Linked DNA regions of Schizosaccharomyces pombe. The protein of the gene in region 2 purifies or fractionates together with the protein of the main gene of each other region. This does not show direct contact. Each region holds a gene or a part of one and is shown on either strand. Other genes may lie near its edges. The genes, in order: rng8, myo51 and cam1.

Region 1 (4,121 bases), on a different chromosome or scaffold from region 2:
TATTTAAAAGGGAATTTCGTATTCATTTAAAAGATTATATGTTATTGCAAATATAATCTAAGTAAGGTTCTTTAATAGCTATATGGCTTAGTACCACCTCAGTAGACAAAATTACATTCATTGGTCTTACAAAGCATTCTACCACTACTTGCATAAACGTGGCTTTATTGACTTTGTGCTTAATGAATATTTAATTGATCGGGATTGCGAAGAAGTGTTAATCTATTTTTCGATTTTTTAAAAAAGTTTGGAGTCCTAGAATACGATTTCCCTATTAAAATGTCAGAAATGATCGTGCTTCCTCATAAAGTGTAAGTAGCTATTTGTCGTTCATTCAGCTTCCCTTAATTATATTTATAAATGATTTGCTAATACCTGTAATATGTAGAACTGTGAAAGTTCCTTTAGCCAGTCGAGTGGACGCTGAACGATGTTTGCAAGTGTTAGCTCCAGATCGTGAGTTGAAAGAGGAACTAGTGCAAAGAAATCTTTTTGTTGACGACAACTATTTGGTTGTGAACTATTCTTGCTCTTCAGCGAGGATGACAAGAGTAACTGTAAATTCCTTGTTTGAGAACCTTTATTTAATCATTGACACTATGCATGAATTGAGCTCATTATGATAAAGCTGTGCTTCTAAAGATGAATCTTATTTTATAAGAAAAATGCGATCCTTCTATTACAGTAACACAAGTTATTTTTATGTCGAACAATGACTGAAGAGTATTTATTGTCTAAGCAAAAAAATAAAATAAATAATGATTTCTGCCCCCTCCCTTTCTTTTTACTAGTTTTTCAAGTTCTATATTATTTCTGCTGTATCTTGATATAATTGATTCTCCTTGCTATATACCTTTTAAACTAAACTAATTTACAATTAAAAGTGACCAAATATCTGTTCATGGCTTAAAAGATAGTATAAATATTACCAGCACCTGAAGCTTCACCAAAAAAAATAATAACGCTTTTAGCTCTCATTCAGGATAGATTTGTTAGAGCTAGTGGTGAGAGTAGCAAACTCACTCTGGCTGGTATCCAATTCATAATCAGTTTCATTAATAATACCGTCGGTATCGTCATCATTGTCATAATCACTGCTCTCAGCAAGGTGGGCAGTCATTTCGGCTAAACGATTTTGTGCGTTCTCTATGGCTGTGCTACTTTTTTCTAACGAGCTTTCCAGCTGTTCCATGTACTGTTGGATGAACTCGGAATAGATATCAGCATCCTTTTCAGCCTTCTCGAGTGCATGCATAATTTTCTCCTTTTCACTATTGCTATTGAACATTGAATCTTTTAGTGGTTTATCAGCAATCTTAGCATCAGACACCTGTTTTGTCAAAGTCCTTTCCACTTCTTCAAATGTGTCTTGTAATGTCCTTATTTCAGCATCCAACTGAGGGTCATGCTTCAAGCATTCATTCCTGAGCTCTTCATACTCTTCTTCTAAAGCTTCTTTTTGCTTTTCGTACTGTTCGGTCTCAGAATTCGCCCGCTCCGTTTCAGCTTCCAATCTTTCAATCTCTAGCTTTAATTGCTGCTGCTCTTCCAATAGGTCGGTTATTTGTCTTTCGAATTCTTCTTGGATTTTTTGTTCTTCTTTAGCTGCCCGCTGTTTCCGATTTACCATACTGGAAACAGACGCCTTTTGCATTTTAAGAGAATCATAAACATTTAGCAAGTTATTCTTCGCTGACTCCAGCTCCTTCCTTTTCTTTCGCTCTTGCATAAGTAAAATAGAAACCTTGTCTCCTTCTTTCTTTAGTCTGTCGATTTCGTTTTGCATAGTAGCAATCAATTGACCAGAAGACGGTTTTCTAGATCCTGTTTTTGCATGGTCATGAGGTACTCCTCTACCAATATACGTTGCCTCAATATGATCTGTCAATTTTTCTAAATCATTTGCCATATCTTGGAGCGTCGAAACTTCTTCCTTTCTATTTTCTGGGATCGCTATATTAGCGTTTGCTTGAACTATTATTTACTTATTTCTCTTACCAATATTATCATGAACTTGCTCGATTTCATGTTCTAATTTTTCGGATCCCTCTAAACCCATTTTTTACATTAAATAAAAGAAAGAGAAATAAATATGAATTAGACTTGCTTCATTGCAAAGGATAAGTTGCATCCTTATTTTTCATTCATTGTCCTAAAGCATTCATTTATTGCACGGTAAGTCTCAGTTGGACTCGATAAACGGTTTAAGAGGGTGTATCAATCATTTAGATGAATGCCAAGATTTGAAGAAAATAGTATAATTATGGAATTATGGAACAAATGATTATTATTCTACATTATGTGTATAGACACAAAAATTTACTTTTAACAAGTCTTTCTCTTTAGTTTACATCCCACTCTTAGAAGACCATGGTTTATTTTAATAATAAAATATGCCATTCTATCATCGATGAAAATTGAGATTTGTATAATAAATAGTTAAATTTTAGTGCGCCAAAAATTAAGGGCTCATTTATGCTTTATACAGACTTAGTTTTTATAAACGTTTGCTATAAGTAACAGCATTACATAAATAGCAGAGGGCTAAATGCTGGCTAGATAAATATGAATGTAAAGTATGTTAAGAAATATTGAAAGATTACTCTCATTTCCAATGCAGGATTAAATGAAGTATATGAACAGATTTTGCATATATACCAAAAAACTCCAATAAACAGAGTGGTGATTAGCCACAGATACATTTTTTCTGTCTAGGTATGAACAGAACTTTATTTTATCAAAAGATGGTGCATTAAACATTTAGCTTTTATTTCTCCTTGGCTTTCCAATGAAATCCCACTGCGACCCAGGAAAAACAAGCTTTCTAGGAAGTGTTATCTGTAGCGGAAGGCTCTTTCGTTTCCTCTGATTTCACAGACTCCAAAAACGACGGTCGCCAACGATTCAAAAGCTTTGCGGCGGAAGCTTTAACATCTACATTCTCTTTCCACATCGTCTCAAGAATATCAAGGCATTTTTCACGTACAGGTTAGTCGAAACATTATTAAATACTGAAAAGTCATGAAACCGAGCTTCGTCTTATCGGGATCAAGACATACAAATTTAATTTTGTCAACTATAGCATCGGTGAGTTCTGGCAATTCAGACATAAATATCATAAAAACTTTATCTTTTGCCTCTAAGTATGGTAAAATGCTGTCTATTACTTTAAGGGCCCATTTTTCATATTGTGGACCTTCCCACTTAACATCCTCATATTCATGACAATCCGGATTTTCAAGCATTAGTCGATCATTATACCATTCCTCGGATAACCAGTTCAATATTAAATTTGTACTGGAACGCCAGTTAGATGCAACGTAAGTAAAAAGCTGCCCTCGAACAAATGAAGACAAAGTGAAAGAAGCATCTCCAGATTCCTCACCAGACGTTACAGGCTGATAATTCAATAAGCCTCGCGTACAAAGTCGTGGTAAGAGAATTGCCCAGTGACGCTTATCCCATACCGTATTATCCACATTTTCCAACGTTAAATTTTGAAGGTTAGAAGAAGAAACTATGCTTCTTTCAAATTGAGGAGCATAATCAAATAATCTGGATAAGGCACCGTGAAAGTATTCTAGAATAGCCATCGGGGACAGCGAATCTGGAGTGGGTAATTCAAACGCATCAGTAACGACATTGGAGGGAGCACTTCCCTCTAGTCGAGCTGCTTCACGTTCTACACTAGCATTGATAGTCTGAACATCTACCTCAGGCGGTTCATAATCCTCGTCCTCGTCTTCATCAACTTGTTGATCAAGACCAAGGGATTCAGGCTCAGAGAGAGAGCGCACTCTCTCTCTCAACATATTAATTTGCTGATGAAAGTAGTTTTTGTCTATCTTAAGAAGAGAAGTAAGTACAATTTCAGTAGCCACTTCAACCGGAATTGAAGTTACATCAAAATTTGCAAGAGGATTTATAGCAGTTTGTGAAGCAAATATGCTGATTAAGGGATTATTTTGCAAACCATCGTGAGAGCTAAGTTGGGGTTGCATTCTTTCTACAAGACTTTGTACAGCAGAAGACTTAACACGCTTAGAGGCAGCACTAATATTTCCCTCATATTGCCGTTTCTTCAAACTTTCATCGACTTTGGTATGATAAATTTGTCCGGA
Region 2 (7,152 bases):
AAACGGAATGCATAGGAATCAAATTGCTGTTGTCTGGGCATCCGATGAATGTATAGTGGAGTCTATTTATTGGTTTTCATCGGCTTTATGTTCTGAAGACCCGCCCAAGAGTGCTTTGTTAAATTTGCTTAAACAGTTGATTGCATTTTACAGACGCTGTTTCGCTGTCCATTTTGAATTTGTATCACCCATGATGATTTTACTTTTTATTATATCCGACTGTTGCATACATTCGTTAAAAGAAATTCAGCCTTTTAAATGTCCCTCAATCATGGTCAAGGATTTGGAGAATTCATTATTACAGTCGAACATCAGAAATGTAGGATATGAAAAAAAAAATCTTTACTACATATCATCTGCCTTTTCAAATCTTTTACACTGTCGTTATTTCAACTGTAACGATCGTCTGAGAAGTTTCTATTACCGATTTTCTTCTTGGTTATTTCATCAAACGCTTGCTTGTGCTAAAGAAGTTGAATCAGAGCGTGCTCCAACGTCTTACTTAACTTCCTGTTTACCAAGTATTAAGGTGATACTAGCAAGGGTGCTTGAAAGTTCTCCAGCTTTTGGATTCATTGAGCGGAACGAATTAGAACAATTGAGTTATCATTTCAGAATTTGTGAAAAGTTTTTTAAAGAATCTTCAGAAAATAAAATGTTAAACCTTTTTGAGGACTACAATGAATTCGGATTATGCAAATCTTTCATTTGTTTATTTAAAAGATTGAACGAAGACATTATAGGGCCAAAGTTAAATATAAACCCACCCGACTATACTACTCATCCATTTTCGGAATCGATCAAACGATTTTATCAAATATCCAAAATACTAAATTTATTGCTTTCCTGAAGTTACTATATGATGCTTTGAATTAACAGAGAATGATAAGAATATAGTATTAATGAGTACTAATATAAATTAAAAATATTGATCGGGTGTAACGTTTAATGATACTTGATAAAAAGCTTATAATGTAGCTTTAGCCAATAAGTTTATCAACTCTGAAAGTCGAAGCTCTTCGTATATATGATTATTTTCAAGTGATAATAAAGGGTTTTTAGAAGCAGCTATAGGAATAGCGTGCCCATTAGTGTTTGTGATTTTACCATTTGTAAAACCAGATTGCTTATACTTACAAGATAATGCCTCTACGGCTTTTGAAAAGGATTTTGGTAGAGGATTTTCACCAGCGCATGGCTGATACCTATTTAGGAGGCATACAACTTCAAATGGCGAAAGTAAATTACAAACAGAGAGAATAACATCCAAATCGTTTGCATCGTTTTTACGAAGGCAAAATACCAAAGGAGACTGCATTAAAGGCAATAGTGACGAGTTAACATAACTAATACCCTTTTGATGACACCAGTTAATCAACAGCGAGGCATTATAGGAAACCTGAGAAGCAGATTTCCAAGTGTACGGTGACCGGCTAGAATGTTAGTGATAGTTTTTTTGATAGCTGCCTTACCCATGAATTAATGTTTGAAAGGCACGTTGTCCTATATGTTGAAGCATGTGAGATATAGTCAATTCCAATAAATTTGGTTGCAAGGCAGAAGATATTAATAATTTGTGTATTAAATTCATTCTGTCTATCAACTCATAAATATTCATTCCAGTAGGTGTTGTGTTCTCATCAGCCGCATCGATAAACTCTGGTAAACATTTTGAATTTAAAAGAGCATTAATCGATCCCTCGGTACAACAACTTAATAGTTTCTGGACCAAGGAATGAAATGAATTTTCCAGATTAGAAAAATGTTTTGAGAATTTCAAAATCAACGGATTCCATAAATCCTCTACCACACTTTGCTTTCCATGTGAATTAATAGATAAAAGATGCACTAAAAATGAACGAATTTTGTGTAACGTTGCGAACCAATACAAAACCGCTTGTAGAGGTTTTTCATAGAAATCTAGAGTTTTATCATTTTCAATAACTGTACCGTCAACGATTTTAGTGAAATAGGAACACAATTGGCTCAAAAACTCACTGATTTGTGTCTTCAAATCAAGGCTAATACCTGCAAAAATTAGAAAGTTTACTACCCCAGCAAAAAGTAGTGAGTTCTGATCCGTTTCTAACAACCTCATAACACCATCTTTGTAACCAACTGCATTAAACAAAGAAGAAACCGTGAGAGCTTGCTTAATTTGCTTTAAAAAAACAACCCTTTTCTCATACAATAAATCTTTAGTTTGTTTATTAACAACTTCATTAGGTAAGAGAGATGCATTTTCAACACCAACTAATTCAAGAAGCTGTTTGAGTTTTTTGTGGATGGAGAAGTATCTATCCATTGCGTAAAAAAGAACACGGGAAGGTAGTTGTTCAGTATCATATTCAAATTTTTCAGAAACTGTCATCTGTAAAGCTTGGTAATAATTCGACAAGTTCTCTCGGGCAGTTTGAGATTGAACAAATCCCAACTCCGATTTTTTGGCTGCCATATAAAGTTGCTGAGATGCTTGCCGAAGCTTTGATTCGGCTTGCAAAAGTTGCACAAGCTGTTCATCGTTGCTAGTAAAATCCATACTAACGGGTTCAGAAAAGTCACTGGGCTTCTTAATTAAACACTTCCATTTCGATAGTGAGTTATTTAAAATATTAAGCTTATTCCTTAAAACTGTTACTTTTTTGCTATTTGATTTCAACTGTTTGGATACTTCGGTTATAGAAGCCTGCAGGTTCTTTTGCTTCTCATAAAGAATGCTAGTCCTGCCCGCCGAATCTTGTAATCTGCGAAGATATCTTCTGGTTAATACAGAGCGCGACACACATTGCAGAGCAATAACTGACTTCTTCAAACCTCTAAAAGTTTTTCTTGCGTTGTACGCTCGCCAAAATTTTGCAAGAAGTGTAGCAGAACTTTCCCTTAACTCATTTATATAACGAGAATATGCGATATTCTTCCGAACTATTGATTGAATAACAATAGCACATTTGATAAGGGACAAATATCTTTTGCGTTGGATATAAGATCGCCAATGAGCTTGAATAAGAATGGCTGCTCGTTCAATTTTTTCTCGCTCAAAACGTTGACGAGTTAACCAGCCCATAATAACCGATTGTAGTTTAATGATAAATTTTACAGTTCTTTGATACTCCTTCCGAGTAAAGAAGCCTCTTATAGCAGACTGTAATAAAACTGTCGATTTGCTACATGTAGCTCGATGGGCTTCTTCAAAATTTCCAATAACGTTTGATCTGAAAAATATTTTGGAGCGACCAACTTGAAAGTTTAGGTTATCATGAGGAATTACAGAGTTAACAATATTAAGAGTCAACTTTTTATTATCTTCCTCCCATTCTTTAGAAGACAACAAAATGCGGAATCGATGAGCAAATTCCTCATACGAAAATCGAGCAGGAAACCCTAACGAGGATATCCTAATTGTTTCAAAAACACCGCAGGCCCTGAGTTGTGAGAGCACCATCGGCGGGGAGAACGTCCAAGGAAGCTTTTCTTCATTAGGCTTAATGCATCGAATGTAATGAACATTAGTAGAGGAAACAGTTGTCATTAATTGAGACAAAGAAGATTTAAACATTGATGAAAGTGTAGGTTTCCTGCTTATAGCAGTCTTTCTAGGATTTTTATTTTGAGAAGAAACCAACTGCATATAAAAGTCTAGCAGATAAGTTATAAACTCATTTTTTGAGTTTTGTAGTAAACTTATAAACTCATCAGGTATGGCATCCGAATTTTTTGCTAAAAAATCGTGTACTTGATAACTAACGTCCAAAGCATAATGTTTAACCATAAATGAACCATCATTAAATCTAGATTTTTTATAGAACTGAGAGTGTTTTGTAGGAAGTTGATTATTTAATTTTTGTAAAAACGATTGGTGGTTCCCTGAAGGTAAGCGACATTCCTCATCCAACAACGAGAGTATCCCTAATTTGTCTTCGATTAAGGATATGCAACCTTGATTGTCAGAATATTCTATAAGTCGCCAGTCTAATCCTTCTTTAACATATTCTTCCTGTTCTAGTTTAAAAACGTGCTTATTAAATTCTTGTTGAAGTTTTTCATTAGCATAATTAATACAGAATTGCTCCATCGAATTTTTTTCGAAATGTTCGAAGCCATAAATATCAACAACACCAATATATTTGTAGGCAGCTCTTTTAACTTTGTTATGGTCAAGTGATGCATTAATCATGTGAACAATCCACAAAAACAGTGCGGAATATAAATATTTAGCGACAGAGTCTCTTATGCTAATAGCATGTTCCAAAGTTGATGAGGTAATAATGGTTTCGGATCTAGTTTTCAGTTGTCTTTTAACAATCCATTTAGCAAGCGTAGATGAATCGACACCAAGTAATAAAGCAGCTTTCTGAAGATACCCATCACCGGGCTGTATTTGTGCTTCATTTCTTGTTGCACAGACTTCAATGTTACCAAGGTGGAGTAAGGCAGCAAGTAGACAAAATACATCCTCCTGCCTTGACTCTGAAATACCAATAGTTGAAAGAGCTCTGCAAGTTATAGTAAAGTCATTACTGTCGTCAACGCCAGATATTTCATCACAATTTCCTTGTGATAAATAATTAAAAGAAGACGCAGACTCAAGAAACCATTTATCCCTTTGTTCCTCTGTACATCCAGTAATTAGCTGATAAAAAATGTGATAATTTCTTTCCCCTTTAAGTAAAGAGACTACTCGGGATCTTTCAAGTAAATATGTGTTTACATTTGCTCCGGTAATCAACAAGTTTTCATCAAAGCTTATGGTAACATATTTACCAAAACGTGAAGAGTTATCATTTCTGATAGTTTTTGCGTTACCAAATGCTTCCATAATAGGATTAGTAGCGAGAACTTGATTCTCAACAGAGCGTTTAACAACACCATTATGATCTACTCCCTGTACCGAGGTCAAGTAACGCATAATATACTTAGCAGCAACTGTTTTGCCTGCACCTGATTCTCCAGACACAATAATAGTCTGATTCTTGGAATCTGTAGTTAAAGCATGGTAACAAGAACTTGCTATAGAGTATAGGTGAGGAACTTTGGCTGCTTCGGGATCTTTATGGAAATGTTTTATCAGATTGTCGTTGTAAAACTCGGGAAGATTTTGGTAAGGGTTTATTGAGACAAGCACGATTCCCGAATATGTGTAAATTTGCTTGTTATTGTAACGATTATGTAAGGCATGAAGGACAGATGGCTCATTTAAATAAGGAAGATTCGTTAAATCAGAAGGCGACTCTGATTGACCGATGTTTCGATTTTGTAACTGTTGGTAATTCACTGTTTCTAAAACACCGCTGCTCTTTGCAACAGTTGCTACGACTTTACCTCCTCCATTATCTTTTATTTCGATTAATCGAGCAGCATCCCAATGACCGTTATTATTGGAAACCCAACATTCCCTAATTTGTAACGATTGTTAATAGAAGGGTGTTTACTTTTTGAGAATTTACTTACGAGCCTACCGATAATCTTGCATGACTCATAGCAATTTTTAATTACTTTCTTTTGAAAATAAAATATCTTCTGTGGTATAAAAGGAAAACTATATCAAAAGAAGGAATAAAGTTATAAATCGGGTAACTTGAGTTTCGATGTGCTATGTACACAAATAAATATTTACGAGCAAACACGCTAGAGCGTATCGCTACGCCAAACTTCCCAACGCCTAATTTCTTTAATTCGAAAGCAAAACAAAGAAAATTGGTATTTTAGGGTTTTGAATTTTTATTGCTTTAAGCGGGTCTTTTAAATTAGTCTTTTAATCTCTGTTTGTTCTCATGAATTGTTGTATCTTAGATTTATTTATCTATCAATTTTATATAGCAATAAAAAAGGTATTGATCTTTTAATCCAATATTGCCTTGAAAATATGATGGACTGTGGGTTTTGATAATTTATTTAAACGGAATGAACAATGTAGCTTCATAGTTCTTATAATCAACAATCAATTTTACAAGGAACAACCCGCAATGAGTTAAGCTTAACTTAGTCCCTATGTTTCAATTGAAAGTTGTAATTGTTGAAGAATGTTGCAAAACTTATGGAATATATCAGTTTCAATTAGTTTCATTTCATTAGAGTTGAATTTACTCAAAACATAATCTGAAACGTCCTCCCTATTCCTTGACTCACAACGTCCAATTCCCAATCCAATCCTGTAAAAACTCTTTGAATTAGTAATGAAATTAAATGTGTACCTTACTTCTTTTCCTAGGAATTCTTGACAAGAGCGAATCCCATTGTGTCCCCTAGCAATGTTAATAAGTATTGCTTTGGATATTACTTACCTGTGAGAGCCTCCGGGCAAACGAAGCTTGACTTTGCCTAAATCTAACTCCAATTCGTCATGCACAACTACATATACGATTTTGTCTAATGGCGAAACTTTGCGCACAAAATCATTAGATATCTTTTTCAACTGTTTCCCGGAATCATTCATGTATGAGGTGGACAAAACCAAGGTGAGATTTTCTTTGGTACTAGGCCAATTTTTTGGAAATGCCATGCTGTCAGCGTACATACTCACCATTAATTTCCCCAGTGAGTGTCTCGATTTGACGAACGCTGATCCTGGATTTCCTAAACCATAGATCTTTCGGATTAGTATCCCATTTTGGAAAGACTTTTACGGATCATAACAATTTTTATAGAAACTCTTCTTTTAAGGTCGCAATGGTTAACTTCTGCTTTGTTTTTCCTGGCAATTAAAATCTTAGGAAGATGTTTTATTGCCATACGGAACTTTGGTACTTATTTTAAAAAAAATTTTTTTTGATTGAAAAAAAGCTTTAGCATCCTCAACAGAATTTTCAACTTACCAAGAATTGTGTTTGCACCATGGACTTTTTTCTGAGAAAATTTTTATTTAGGCACAAGGTTTTATTAAGATTAATAAATACTTTCCAACTGATTGGTTTTGGCCTACTCTTTGGTATTTAGCACGGTTAGCTCCCCACGAAAATAATATTTTAGTTTAGATTAATAAAACAATGTTTCAAACTACGAAGAAACTTGGAAACCACCTATTTCATGTTTTAGCCATTTAATTATAAGGAGACTACTTATCTTAACTTTTAGTAACGTATTATTACGAAAATTAATAAAAAGTAATCAAAGTTATATGATGGAGGAGGTAATAATGCATTTTAATATAGGTAT
Region 3 (4,261 bases), on a different chromosome or scaffold from region 2:
CTTAGTCGTAATGAACCCAAATCATCATAAGTGATATCTTCTGGTAATAATTCGTGAAGCGTTTCTACAAATTTAAATTCATTATTCCCAATATTTTTGATAATTAGAGAATTATCATTTCCATTCGACATAGAGCTATAATTAATTTAGTTATGGTAATTGCTAACCCTTGATTCCAAAGTGTTATGTAATACAGCGCAGTATAGAACTCGAAGCTTTTTTTTTGGCAATTTTAAAGAAGAAAATTTCGTATAGTTAGGTACAAGTTTTCGACGGCGAAGGGATATACGAAACCATATAGCGGGTGGTTGATGGTGAGAGGAAGTTAGGTTGGCTTGAATAGCAAGTAGGAGGACATTGAGGTTTAGAACTGATAACTTTGTAAAAACTTTTTGAATATATATGTACCATGATGTTGAATTTTAGATAAGTTTTAACTTCACTAACTTGAACTTTACCGGCGCAGAGCCTTCCTTCTTAGGAAATGTCCATATTCCAATGATGAATTTCTGTTTACGATCGGAATAACTACGTGAAATGCAAAAAGAAAATAAACGATGTCATTTATGAATTTATGTTTAGTTAATACGTATAGCTTAGCTTCGACAAGTGCCGCACAAAATTTCATACTGAGAGATGTATTTGTATAAAGTAATGTATTAAGTACAAAACAAAGCGTATATCTACCAGAGTGAGAAAACGGCTTCAAGAAGTGCATATAACTAGAAAAATGCTAAAAATTTTAACATCGACTAGTATAATGAACAGTAAATCTTGAAGGAAAAAAGAAAAGGAAGATTGAGCTAAATAATGGGCATGGGAATTGCAAGGACATAAATGCAACGTATACAGCGAGTACTAGGCACATACTAGTACGAGCAAATGCATCATATAACAGACAGATGAAGCTTCTAATAATTCATTGTAGGATGCAATAATGCAAAAGTGCGTGGTATTCTCATAGCAATAACGTATATGTTCCCAGACTTAAGGATTCCTTTATGTGTTGAAACAAAGGAAGCGTTAAAATTCATAGGATCGATCATGAGATGAATGGTAACAACAAATGCTACCATAGTTACTTTTGTGACACACCTAGGCCAGCAAAATAAACAACCAAAACGTTGTAATACACTAACTAATGTTTTTCAAAATCATAGACGAAAAAAAAAGTAAAGGACAATAGCCGAGGTTAAGTTGGTAAAGAGATTGTCCAAATTGCGATGGAGAGTGGTTATAAAGAAGAACTAAAAGGGTGGAAACCCCAGCAAGGATATTTTGATTTTTTTAAGGCTTACAAATATTCCACAGAAATTCCAACCCTTCTACTTGGAAGAAATGACACGAGAGAATTCTTCGTAGTTGATTACACCATCGCCATCGGTGTCGGCTTCACGTATCATATCGGCTACTTCTTCTTGAGACAAACGTTCACCAAGACTTGTAAGCACATGAGTCAACTCCTCGACTGTAATGTATCCATTTCCATCTTTATCGAAGACTTTAAAGGCTTCGCGAACTTCCTCTTCGTTGTCGGTATCCTTCATTTTTCGGGCCATCATAGTCAAAAATTCGGTAAAATCAATTGTGCCATTACCATCGGCATCGACCTCATTAATCATATCTTGTAATTCGGCGGCAGTAGGCGATTGACCTAACGATCTCATAACTACACCCAATTCATTGGACGTGATATTTCCATCCTGATCACGATCAAACAGTGAAAAGGCTTCACGGAATTCTGCAATCTGCTCATCTGTAAGGTTACGGGTAGTCTGTAATAATGTACGATACGGTAGACGACTTCAGAAATCATTTTCTGAGTGTCATCCGTTCATACGATTGTTAGTCAATCTTCAAAGGAAAAATCGGAATATGTCCAAACAATATAATAAACATACCATTTTCTGGTAAAAATCAGTAACTCTAAAGTCCTTCTATTCCTTTTTTTAACCTTTATTTTTGGCGGTTAGTGTTTTGCTCTAGTTACGTTAAAGTGCCTTGGAGAAATGAGGACTACCGTTGTCGCTTCCTAATGTTGCAAGTCCTACCATCAACAGTGATGTCAACAAACAATGAGAGTTTATTACATTATCGTATATGCTCTAACAAACCAGTAACGTACTTGCTATAAACCGCACTAAAACCACTAAACGGCGGATGAAGGAACTTTTTCAATGTCAGCTACGCATTTATTGGTATCTATTTAACGACACCTAGAACTGCCGTGTGGTTTACTTGTGACCTATTGTATTATGGTACACAGGTAAATACATTTAGTAACTTAGAATGATATTCTGATATAGAGGTTATATTGTTACCTATCACCGAATTAGCATAAAAGTGAATAGAGAAACGAGGTTTTGTTTATTTCAATTCATAAAATTTAAGCATTCTATTATTTTTTTTGTTATTCATTTTATAACTCTTAGTAATCTACCTAAGTAACTTATCATGTACAGCTTGACAGAGCAAATCAAACATGTGATAATTAGTGATACACAACGTAGTATGCTATAGCGCAACGGAACGTTGTCGACATTCAACTTATATATCGTACTCGATGTTTAAATCGCAAAAGGATTTAACAAAAAATATTTGTAAATGCAGTATTTGGAAATGGTTATTACAGCGCAATTTTTTGCTGAATGTAAACAGAAAATCGTGTTTTTCACTTTCCTCTATGAGGTTGAGTTAGTGATATTATTATTCATGATATGAAAATATTGTTTTCATTTTGATTTATGGAAAATTAATTATTGAGCAGATTTACAAACACTGTCACGGTTTAAAGTCTCCAAATAATTGAGCAAAATGACATAGCTTTGAAAAATTTGCTAAACAAAAGCATTTTTGATAAGTGCAGTTCATTAAAAGGTTTTTTTGCACGTTTATTATGAATTGCATTTTTGTTGTGTAGCATAATCTGCTTTTGTATTTTTTGTATATGCCAATTTTGATCTGATAATTTTTCTAGTTGAACACTCAAATGAAGAAGGAAAACTGAAAAAGTAAATAACAATATATTATTCAAGCAGGATTTCATTGCCTGTATATATTTCGATATTAATTCTTTTCTAAATGATTTATTCAATGTATAAAAATCCAGAACCTCAACATCTGATACAATGACCGTAGCCGAATTTATTGATTTTAGTCTGAACGGATATTTTAATCGAATAAACAATATTTGTTGTTATTGATGTAACACAAAAAAAAATAAAAAAATAAATTCAAATTGAGCATTTTTTTGTCTTTAATAATCATAAATTTAGACGTCTTTTGTTTTTAAAGATTTTATAGTTTATTCTCATAATTTTAAATTTTTGCACTTCCTGTTTAAAGACATCTCTACAGAATGACCATGAAAATTTGAGTATAATTCCTTAAAAGATTCAAATTTATAAATCTCAATTGATTTAATAAAATGCTGTGAAATGGGAAGTTTAACTTTTAATAATTCGAGGTACTCATATCCTTCATAGAAAAAAAATAAAAAAATAAAAATAAAAATAAACATATAAAAAATAAAATAATAAGAATGATCGAGAATTTAAAGTATTTATTGTTGAACTCTATCAGTACGTGTGTTTGAATATTTTCCTACTCAATTCATCTCGTAATTTTGTTGTGCAACTACAATAAATTCCTTATTGAACCACATACCTTTTTAGTAGACTGTAAAAACCATCAAGTGAATTCCAAATGGATAGCTGGGGTAAGCTATATATGATTCTACATGTTTATTAACTGAAATGAAGAGGACTTTTTAGTAGAAGATCCTGCAAAGCCTGCAGAGTTTGATTTCCCCTTAGGGAAGGATAGTCAATCCTCTTCCAAGCCAAAAAAGAGATTTGACGACGAAGAGGATGAAGATGAAGAAGAAAACAAAGAATCCTTGCAAAATGATTCTCATTCAGTATCCCAAAAATCCTCTTCATCTAGCCAAAATGATCAAGGCTCTAACAAAATGACTCGTATCCAACAAAAAATTCAGGAAAGAAATTTCGAAAAAGCCATTAAAGCAAGTGAAGCAGCTGCGAAGGAAGAATCACTAGAAAGTTCCAAAGAAGCTATGCGACAAGCCGAAATTGACTCTGACTTGGCAAATGCCATGGACTTGTTTGACATCGTTGATAAAAACTCAGCAAGTGCAAACCGCTCCAAGCAAGCTGATCAACGACAACTCAAAACAAAAGCCGACTATGCAGCTTTCCAAGCTGATATTTTGAAGAAGGTTAAAAATTGTCAAACCACTGCC

The links.
Region 1: the proteins of myo51 (region 2) and rng8 purify together in Schizosaccharomyces pombe (affinity purification with western blotting; 2 studies listed by BioGRID, with this or other methods). This does not show direct contact.
Region 3: the proteins of myo51 (region 2) and cam1 purify together in Schizosaccharomyces pombe (affinity purification with mass spectrometry, with the first as the bait; one study listed by BioGRID). This does not show direct contact.

Annotation. Positions count from the first base shown.
Region 1 is NC_003424.3:3,852,802-3,856,922, forward strand, and holds rng8 (protein Rng8), read right to left. Parts: upstream 2,116-4,121; 5' UTR 2,060-2,115; coding exon 1,999-2,059; exon of another isoform or gene 1,945-1,998; coding exon 968-1,944; 3' UTR 770-967; downstream 1-769. Other genes in the region: transcriptional regulator Pcc1, read left to right, coding at 280-311, 389-623.
Region 2 is NC_003423.3:2,989,338-2,996,489, forward strand, and holds myo51 (myosin type V), read right to left. Parts: upstream 5,578-7,152; 5' UTR 5,478-5,577; coding exon 5,449-5,477; intron 5,394-5,448; coding exon 1,473-5,393; exon of another isoform or gene 1,434-1,472; coding exon 968-1,433; 3' UTR 851-967; downstream 1-850. Other genes in the region: telomerase regulator Est1, read left to right, coding at 1-850; peptidyl-tRNA hydrolase Pth1, read right to left, coding at 5,987-6,160, 6,197-6,242, 6,282-6,586, 6,634-6,729; protein mhf1, read left to right, coding at 7,115-7,126. UniProt on the Schizosaccharomyces pombe protein: Involved in cytokinesis.
Region 3 is NC_003424.3:1,442,573-1,446,833, reverse strand, and holds cam1 (calmodulin Cam1), read right to left. Parts: upstream 1,985-4,261; 5' UTR 1,905-1,984; coding exon 1,902-1,904; intron 1,776-1,901; coding exon 1,326-1,775; 3' UTR 501-1,325; downstream 1-500. Other genes in the region: GARP complex subunit Vps53, read right to left, coding at 1-131; tif310 (translation initiation factor eIF3j (p35)), read left to right, coding at 3,706-3,718, 3,762-4,261. UniProt on the Schizosaccharomyces pombe protein: Calmodulin mediates the control of a large number of enzymes, ion channels and other proteins by Ca(2+). Among the enzymes to be stimulated by the calmodulin-Ca(2+) complex are a number of protein kinases and phosphatases.